Arabidopsis thaliana: one gene and its partner. The protein of the gene in region 2 interacts with the protein of the main gene of each other region in a biochemical or structural test. Each region holds a gene or a part of one and is shown on either strand. Other genes may lie near its edges.

What was found. The genes of interacting proteins can lie anywhere in the genome.
Region 1: the proteins of VIP1 (region 2) and MPK3 form a complex in vitro, tested with the Arabidopsis thaliana proteins (one study listed by BioGRID).

What each region holds. Positions count from the first base shown.
Region 1 is NC_003074.8:16,754,622-16,759,407, forward strand, and holds MPK3 (mitogen-activated protein kinase 3), read left to right. Parts: upstream 1-1,949; 5' UTR 1,950-1,971; coding exon of another isoform or gene 1,972-2,163; 5' UTR 2,164-2,296; coding exon 2,297-2,454; intron 2,455-2,537; coding exon 2,538-2,667; intron 2,668-2,755; coding exon 2,756-2,893; intron 2,894-2,994; coding exon 2,995-3,327; intron 3,328-3,419; coding exon 3,420-3,603; intron 3,604-3,685; coding exon 3,686-3,855; 3' UTR 3,856-4,253; downstream 4,254-4,786. Other genes in the region: AT3G45645 (uncharacterized protein), read right to left, coding at 1,972-2,163; NAXT1 (nitrate excretion transporter1), read left to right, coding at 4,632-4,731. UniProt on the Arabidopsis thaliana protein: Involved in oxidative stress-mediated signaling cascade (such as ozone). Involved in the innate immune MAP kinase signaling cascade (MEKK1, MKK4/MKK5 and MPK3/MPK6) downstream of bacterial flagellin receptor FLS2.
Region 2 is NC_003070.9:16,482,334-16,486,884, reverse strand, and holds VIP1 (VIRE2-interacting protein 1), read right to left. Parts: upstream 2,655-4,551; 5' UTR 2,534-2,654; coding exon 1,935-2,533; intron 1,840-1,934; coding exon 1,707-1,839; intron 1,250-1,706; coding exon 1,165-1,249; intron 1,077-1,164; coding exon 868-1,076; 3' UTR 558-867; downstream 1-557. Other genes in the region: EMB1075 (Pyridoxal phosphate (PLP)-dependent transferases superfamily protein), read left to right, coding at 1-351; AT1G43690 (ubiquitin interaction motif-containing protein), read right to left, coding at 4,296-4,551. UniProt on the Arabidopsis thaliana protein: Transcription activator that binds specifically to the VIP1 response elements (VREs) DNA sequence 5'-ACNGCT-3' found in some stress genes (e.g. TRX8 and MYB44), when phosphorylated/activated by MPK3.

The DNA of each region.
Region 1 (4,786 bases), on a different chromosome or scaffold from region 2:
TATAAGCTTTCGATTTTGCCCGTACCTAATGATTTTCGTTTGTCCATCTAGGAAGTACTCGATTTAAAGTTTAGAACTAATTTAAACAATCATTGTTTTGATAAGGTTAAGTATTTGAAATCACTTTTAGATGACTTTGGAATAGTTTTAGAAGGTTATAATCCAGTGAAGTTTAACGATGCATCGTTATTCCTTAACATAAATAGAACTCTAACTTAAATAAATTTCATAACAAAATCAATATTTTTAACGATAATGTTGGAACATAAATTATATAGCGCATACGATTATTTAGAGGAATTTGTAAACTAAATATTAATATCTTGTTCGAACTCGAAAATAGCTTACTTTTTTTTCTTCATAAGTGTTGGCTTTGATATATAACAACAAAGTGTTACAATAGTGGAAAACTCCACTTACAGAATTCGATAGGCTAATGAGCATTACGATATTAAATTATCAAACACATATAGATAATCTCCTTTAATTTTCATCTACTCAGAATTGAACATTTTCATAATCTGCAAGTTCTGCTTTATCTTGTCTGCTTTCATTGGAAATGAAATGGTATATGTTGGTCGGTAAAAGACGAATCAAATTTGTAAACTAACAATGAACTATTGAAAGAGTAAATCTTACAGAAATCTCAAAAGAAAATAAGATACTAAAAAGGGAGAAACTGAATCTCTCACTTAATCCCCATTCGGGGAACCTTTACACTTAACACGCGATCTGATGGAGCCATGAGTGCAATCCAATCAATCCAAAACTTCTGCAAGGCCCTCTTACACAGATATCCTAACGAAAAGTAACCACAAAGATCCGCTTCTCAACTCCAAAACCAATTTGCGCAAATAGAGATTTTGCCTATTTTGCTATCTCTTTCTTCTTAAAACAAAGCCTTCTTAAAACAAAAGTCCAACAACAAAAGTCAAACCGAGCCCAATATAGTAACCCATCGAGGAAGGGATAAGAAAGCCATACAACACAGAGACATGTGTCGCCTCATGAGGAAATCACAGACACGTGACGAGAAGAACGTGTTTGTCGAGAATGCCAACCACTGCCGGCATGTTTTCTGAGATCGAAGAACGCCTACCCACCGAAAGTTCGTTCACTCCGCAAAACCAGAAGCTTCAAGTAGAGCACTGAAGACCCTCTAAAGAAATTGCACATCTAGTCTTCCTCTTCCAAACGAAATTAAACTCAGATTTAACAAACGAACGAAACTTTCTTTCATATGAAGGAAAGCGTCCACCATTCCAAAGTAGCATGAAGCATCACAATGACGTAAGCAACCAAAAAGATTTTCCGGTGAGACTTAACGTCGCCATGCCCATCAAGTGAAACTACTACAAAATTTGAACGACAAGGCTTATGAAGCCGAAACTCTTAAACTTCCACTTTTTCTTCGTAATGAAGAAACTTAATAAGTTTATTAGAAATAAAGACAAATAAAGGCAAAATACCAAAGAACGGCGACGATAAAACCGGATTTACCGGTAACTATAACTAGAACTCACCGTACGGTATTGAAACAAAAAGTTGGACCATGTCCGAACACAACCTCACAAACATACGGGAAGGCATACGAAACAAAGAATTTTTTCTTTTTCTCAAAATTTTAGAGAAAGAAGAGAATAAAAAAATTCTGATCGAAAATAGCTTACTTAAAAATCATAATTGAATAGTATCTTTTGTTTTTAAACTAATTTAGTCTATATAATAATAATATTATTAACCATCGTAAACCACACATGATATTCAATACTTATAATAAATTAATCGCATAAAATACAATACTTAAAACGAGTGTTATATAATTTTACGTAACGTAAAACAATACAAAATTTTAATTCCTGAACGAATAAAACGAGTATATTAATTAATTTATTGATCGTATTAAAACGAATATGATCCAATTAAGATTACAATTACTAAAATCCCCACACTATTATTGTCATTATTTAACTATGGCAGATAGATAGATACAGAACCGTAAAGGACGTTAGGAAGAGGAAGAACGTTGACGAAGTCAACAACGAACAGAAACCGTCGATTTGAGGCGGCTCTAATCTCAACCACACGATCTTCTCTGCCTTTCCCTCTTCTCTCTTCTTCTTCTTCTTCATCTTCTTCCTCGCAATTACCGCGAAAACTCATCTCTGCTCAATCCTCAATCTCAGTCTCTCTGTTGACTCCGACTGTTATATAAAACCATACAAATACCTTCAGATTCACTACTTCAAACCTCAAAGCAACCACTGAATCTCGACTTTGATCAATTGAGAGAGAAATGAACACCGGCGGTGGCCAATACACGGATTTTCCGGCGGTGGAAACTCACGGAGGACAGTTCATAAGTTACGATATCTTCGGTAGTTTATTCGAGATCACATCTAAGTATCGTCCTCCGATTATACCAATTGGTCGTGGAGCTTATGGAATCGTTTGGTATGTTTCCTTCTCTGAGCTTTTTCTTAAGTTTTATTCTTTGAGATCGGAGTTTTTAATTTCTGGATTTTGATTTTGTGAAGCTCTGTGTTGGATACGGAGACGAACGAGCTAGTAGCGATGAAGAAGATAGCTAATGCTTTTGATAATCATATGGATGCTAAGCGTACGCTTCGTGAGATCAAGCTTCTTCGTCATCTTGATCATGAAAACGTTAGTGTTTTTGTTCGATTTTGTGAAATATCTGTAGAAATTAGTAAATAAATCATGATTAGGGTTTTTTGATTTGGTATTGCAACAGATTATAGCTATAAGAGATGTTGTTCCACCACCACTAAGAAGACAGTTCAGTGATGTTTATATCTCTACTGAATTAATGGATACTGATCTTCATCAAATCATCAGATCTAACCAGAGTTTATCAGAAGAACACTGTCAGGTAAACTAAAAACTGTTCTTGGCTTTTTTCTGGGATTTATATTTGATAGAAGAGACATGAAACTGATACTTGATTTGGTGTTTTTGTTGTCATGGAAACAGTACTTCTTGTACCAGCTACTTCGAGGACTGAAGTATATCCACTCAGCTAACATTATTCATAGGGATTTAAAGCCGAGCAATCTTCTGTTGAACGCGAATTGCGATTTAAAGATTTGTGATTTCGGTCTTGCTAGACCTACTTCAGAGAATGATTTTATGACTGAGTATGTTGTTACGAGATGGTATAGAGCACCTGAGCTTCTGTTGAACTCTTCAGATTACACAGCTGCTATTGATGTTTGGTCTGTTGGTTGTATCTTTATGGAGCTTATGAATAGAAAGCCTTTGTTCCCTGGTAAAGACCATGTTCATCAAATGCGCTTATTGACAGAGGTAAAATATTTTAGAGAGTTATGTAATTTTAGCATGGTTTAAAGATTCTGCCTTTTCACGGAATATGTGATGAATTTGTTTGAATCTTGCAGTTGCTTGGCACACCGACAGAATCTGATCTCGGTTTTACTCACAATGAGGATGCGAAAAGATACATCCGGCAACTTCCCAACTTCCCACGTCAGCCCTTAGCTAAACTTTTCTCTCATGTTAACCCAATGGCCATTGATCTTGTTGACAGAATGTTGACGTTTGACCCCAACAGAAGAATCACTGGTAAGTTTCATACATGTTCTCTGTTGGTTTTTCTTACCATCACTATGTTTTGATTAAAAACTGAAAATACCATCTTGTGCAGTTGAACAAGCTCTGAATCACCAGTACCTTGCTAAATTGCACGACCCGAATGATGAGCCAATCTGTCAAAAGCCATTCTCTTTTGAGTTCGAACAACAGCCTCTGGATGAGGAACAGATAAAAGAGATGATCTACCAAGAAGCCATAGCACTCAATCCAACATACGGTTAGAAGTGCAGCAGCCCCGTGAATGCCTGGTATTACCCAATAACCATCCGAATGGCTACTTAGTATCTTTGCCTGTTCTTTTATTCATGTACTTCTTCCACATATGTAATCTTGTAACTTTTATTTGTTTGTTCATGTTATTTACTGCTAGTGATTAAGTGTAGCTCCAATGTAAAGTACTCCAGTTATTAAAGAATATCTATAGACTTTTTTACTTCACATACTCTTGAGTCTTCCCTAGTAAACAAAGAGAAGAGAGAATATAATTTTGTAATGTACAGAGCCTCAATATTTGTGGGAGACATTATAGAGCTAGAGCCAGAGTCAATGCTGTCGCCGTGAGTTGTCTATTCTCATTCAATGACTTTCAATAGATTTTAGTGGGATTGGCTTTAGGTAGCTTGCATTATTGAAGTAGAAATGGTCAATTCCTTAGCAATAATTAGGCACAAATGTGTCTTTCTTTAGTAATATTGTAATATCCTTTGTCTGACAATTTAGAGTTGACTTCTAAAACGTTGGGTTGGAAATAATGTTGTCTTCACACAGGCTGTTACGAAGCAGACAGTGATGGCTCAACTTGCATCAACGGAAACCTTTGAGTTTTTGTTTTACTTTCTTAATGTTTCTTTATTTGAAGCTGCTGCGCATGGAGAATAAAATATCGTGGACCCGAGAAAGTCATCATTGCTGTATTATTACTTATACTGTATATATGTTTCAGAATTTCAGGCCATTGTTGACAAAAATAGTGAAAGATTTCTGCTTGATTTTGAGACATGGCTAGTTCAGTTACTGGCGATGCAGAAACAGCGATATCAGCAGATTCAAGCACCAAACGCCGTGGTGGAGGTTGGATTACCTTTCCGTTTATGATAGGTGAGAGATTCTGTTTCTCTGTTTTTATATTTCTCATAACTTCATAACCATTAGA
Region 2 (4,551 bases):
AGGAAAGGTTACAAAGGATTCCAGAAAGAAGTTCAGAAATGCTTGAGAAACGCGCATTACCTCAAAGACCGACTTCGTGAAGCTGGGATTAGCGCCATGCTTAATGAGCTTAGCAGCACTGTGGTCTTTGAACGGCCTAAAGATGAAGAGTTTGTTAGAAGGTGGCAGCTTGCTTGCCAAGGTGATATAGCTCATGTGGTGGTTATGCCAAGTGTTACAATCGAGAAGCTTGATAATTTCCTGAAAGACCTTGTCAAACACAGATTGATCTGGTACGAGGATGGATCTCAGCCTCCTTGCCTTGCATCGGAGGTAGGAACCAACAACTGCATCTGTCCAGCTCACAAGTGACGGCACCATTTCTCATTTGTTGGTATTGTTGTTTTCTAGTAAGCCACATCTAGTTTAAATTCCTCATCACTGTATTCCTGAACTTGGTTTCAATCATCGTAAAATTTTGTCAGTTTCTCTTATTTACAAGTTAAGGTTTCAAACAGTGTTTACAATTTGTAGCTCAATCTGGAGCATGATCAACCTTCACTTCGTCGTTCGCAATCGTTTACCGAGTTTTAGCATTATCGTAACAGCAAGTATGTGCCTTAAGCCGCTGATTTAGCTGCGTGTTTGATGATCGGTGCTTAATGCCTAGGAAAAGTGCTTACTATAAAGATTTTTGGGTAGTATATTACAATGGATACTACTTGTAAAGATAGACCGATGTCGCCATGAACATATCTGCATAGACGCTAACAACACAAAAGCCATTATACATGGATACATACATACTTTTTACATACATCAAATATTGCAGCCCGAAATGAATATAACGTATTTATAACTCAGCAAACATATATAGGTGACACGAACTCAGCCTCTCTTGGTGAAATCCATGTAGCTTGGGAGCGATGGCTGCCCGTTTGTACTCATCTGTTGGTTCGTTTTGTTCCCAAACTGATTCATTGCCGATTGCTGAGATGAGAATTGAGCACGGTTGTAAGAATTTCCATTCCCCTGAGGAATTTCTCCAGCTACCACCTTAAGTCGGTTCAGTTCATCCCGCAGCGCTTCATTCAAAGCTGAAAATTACACCGAACAATATATATCGTAATGAGGACTTTGGTTTACATATTGAGAACGACCCAATGAAAAAGAAAATGGCTTTACCATCCCTAAGTTCAGCTTGTTGCTCTAAAGCTTGAAGCCGCATTTTGAGGTGTTTATTTTCAGTGTTCAGCTCTGATGTTCCTCTCTACACAATATAAGAAAAAGCACAGATTAGAGATGCAAGAGACATGAATCATTTTATCTTACTCCTATGTTGCTTTTATCACTAAAGTGGAAACAAAACTTACACTCTTGCAAGTGTATACATTACACTATTGACATATCTCACATGTTGATTAATCAGCTAAATTAACATGAGAATAACATATCTTATAACACTGCATCTATACTTGTTCCTAGTAGCAAACACATGTCCTCTCTATACACCAAGAAGCAATCTTAAACACACTAAGCAACAATACAAGCTTACAAGCTGCCAAGCTCAAATCAAGATATCAGAAATAGTTCCTTAGAGTAATCTTCACTAATCACATCAGCTTCGTAAAACACAAAGCTTTAAAGATATTTAGTAATCTACTCACCAACCTTCACTAGTCACACCAATTGCATAAACACAATGACAAAGTAATACAAAACATTACCTGTAACATAGTGACTTGAGCAGACAATGTAGTAGCTTCATTCTGAAGTGTCTGAACCTTCCTCTCTAACTCACCAGTATACCTAATCTTCCTCTCTTTCGACCTCGCCGCAGATTGTCTATTCGCTAAAATCCTATCAAAAACCCATCACAAAACACTATTTCAAACCTCAATCAAATCACAAAAAAGTTACAAGCTTTAAGTAAAAAACAACACTAAATTATATACCTTTTAGCTCTTTTAGGATCAAGCAAAGCAAGCTCAGCAAGTCTATCACCACCCATACCCATATTCTTCTTCCCACTATCTTTACCACTCACAGAAGCTAAAATCGATTCGATATTAAACGACGCCGAACTCATCTCTCCATCCATAGAATTACTCCTGCTATGATGATGATTCCCTTTCTTCTTCTCTCCTGAACTTGTAGCTATAAACTTCTCCTCAGTAACACCCAAATCATCGAAGAAATCGGAATCAACCGAGAAGCTACGAACATGGCGACCGAATCTAGCTTCGGGTTTTGGAGGAAGAGAATTAGGAGGAACAACACCGTTCGATGAGGTTTCTTCCGAATCAACGGACATGGGAGAAGCTTGCGGTTGTTGTTGTGATTGTTGTGGTGGTGGTGGAGCGTTGAGGAAGTCTAGAGAAGAGAAATCGATATCGGAAGGATCGAATAAGAGGAGATCGTCGATTGATTCGCCGGAGAAGAAGGTTTCAGAGCGAGCTCGACGGTGATGAGAGATACGTTGACGTGGAGCTTCAGGCATATGTTCTATTTCACTGAGAATCGTTTGATTTGGTCCTCTTCCTCCTCCTTCCATTGATTTTTTTTTTTCCCGGCGGCGAGGTTTTCGCAAACCTACCGAGTTTATTACAGAGAAATGTGAAAGTACAAAAGAAATTTTGTCGAGAGGGGCAGGTAAGTACTAAGTAGGACCAAAGTGATGTGTTTGGTCTGAAAACCTATATTCTCGATATTTACCAACTTATTTACTTTTAAAAAAACAATATATATAAATAAATAATACTAATAATCTTATCCGGTTCTCACATTGAATAATGTTTCGGTTTACTTCAACAGATTATATTTTGTACATTGTAACATGTGTCTACAAGGATCAAAAGTTGAAGGAATTATGTAACTAATCGAATATAAAGACACAAGAACTTCAATTAACAACCGCTCATGATTACTGCTAATATTCAGTAATTCTAAAACGGGAAATCCCAAAAAAAAAAAAAAAAATCTATTTGATCCATGATCAATGATCCGGTGAACCGATTAAACGGGTTGGATGATTGTTTACGAAATCTATTTGATTTTGAAAATATTTAAAGTTTTGTTTTATATCAGTTATGTATAAAACCTTTTCAATTCTTTTCAAGCGGCCACATACGAGCCAACATACCTTTCTCGTCTTTTATGAATATTTAGTCTCTTAAGAATTTCTTTTTTCTTTTTGTCATTAGAAATATAGATTATATTGGTGATACAAGATCGGAATACAATAGCCGGCAAGGTATTCAAACCTTCCAGAAACTTAAGCCGGCGAATATATGTAGACTTCCAGAGACAATGATCAAACCAAATGGGAAAACCCCAAACATACAAATACACTAATCTGAACCAATCTTCCTAGACTCATAGCACAAAAAAAACAAAAAAAATTTACAAAGTCTAAATCAAGATAAAAACAAACAGATGTGGAGAGTCTTTTTTCTTTATTAGTTTATTTTTATCATTGGTGATTTTTTATTATTTTAATATATATTTTTAACTTTTAGTTGGATTTAAAATTTTTGATTACATTACTGTTCTCGTTAGATTTCAATTTTTTTGTTAAACATGACACACTCATTTTTATTTTTCATTTATAAAACTATATAATCTCTATAAATACATAATATAAAAATATCAATTGATTTGCGGTTCGACTCGATGGTCCGGAAGGTAGTCCAGTTTGCCTTCTGGATGATGTTTAAAAACATTGATATTATTCCTACCCTTATCTATAAATAGTGACTTTGATTGCTAGCAAATGAAAAAAATAGTGTTTTGATCTAATTGAATGGAAATAAGCAGCAATTGTTTGGAAACACTTTTTTTTTATTATAAAAAAAATTAAGAAGGTGGATATGTTGTAGAAGTGCGTATAACCAAATCCATTAAAAGATGTTTACCAAACATAAAATACTATCTACTATTGTGGTGCATGCTGTACCGCGATATAATAACAAAAGTAAATATACATGATCAAAAAGTAAAATTTATATGTAATTGTTTAAGTATTGGGATGAAACCATAGTTTCTTAGCCATTTCAAGACCTTAGTCTTAAATCAGAATATGATCAATGTTATTGAAAGCAATTTTATCCAACAATTGAAATATTCATTTGTCTCAATAATGTTCAATAATAGATAACAAAAATTCTACATCAATACACAACATGAAAAAAACGGACAACGCAAAGAAAGTTCAGACGCGTGTTAACCGCCAAATCAGATCAGCAGTTTCCGTTTTCTTTCTTTAGAATCCAATGAGCCAGAATAAACGCTCAAGCTTTCTCATAATACAACATTCTTCAGACTATACTTGGAGGATCTCCAGACCAGCTACAAGCGGCACGCGACCACCGAGTTCTGATACAATCCACCAGTGGTGCATGTTGGACCGGTTTTGGCTGATTCACTTCTGAGTCTTTCTCAGAGCTGCTCGGCGGCAGTGCACATGTCATGTACTCTTCTGGTGTCCATTTTGGAGGAACCGATACGTTTAGTTTTGTCAGCCTTGGCCTTTGCATAGGAACCATCCCACCTTCCACAGCCATTGCTTGACCA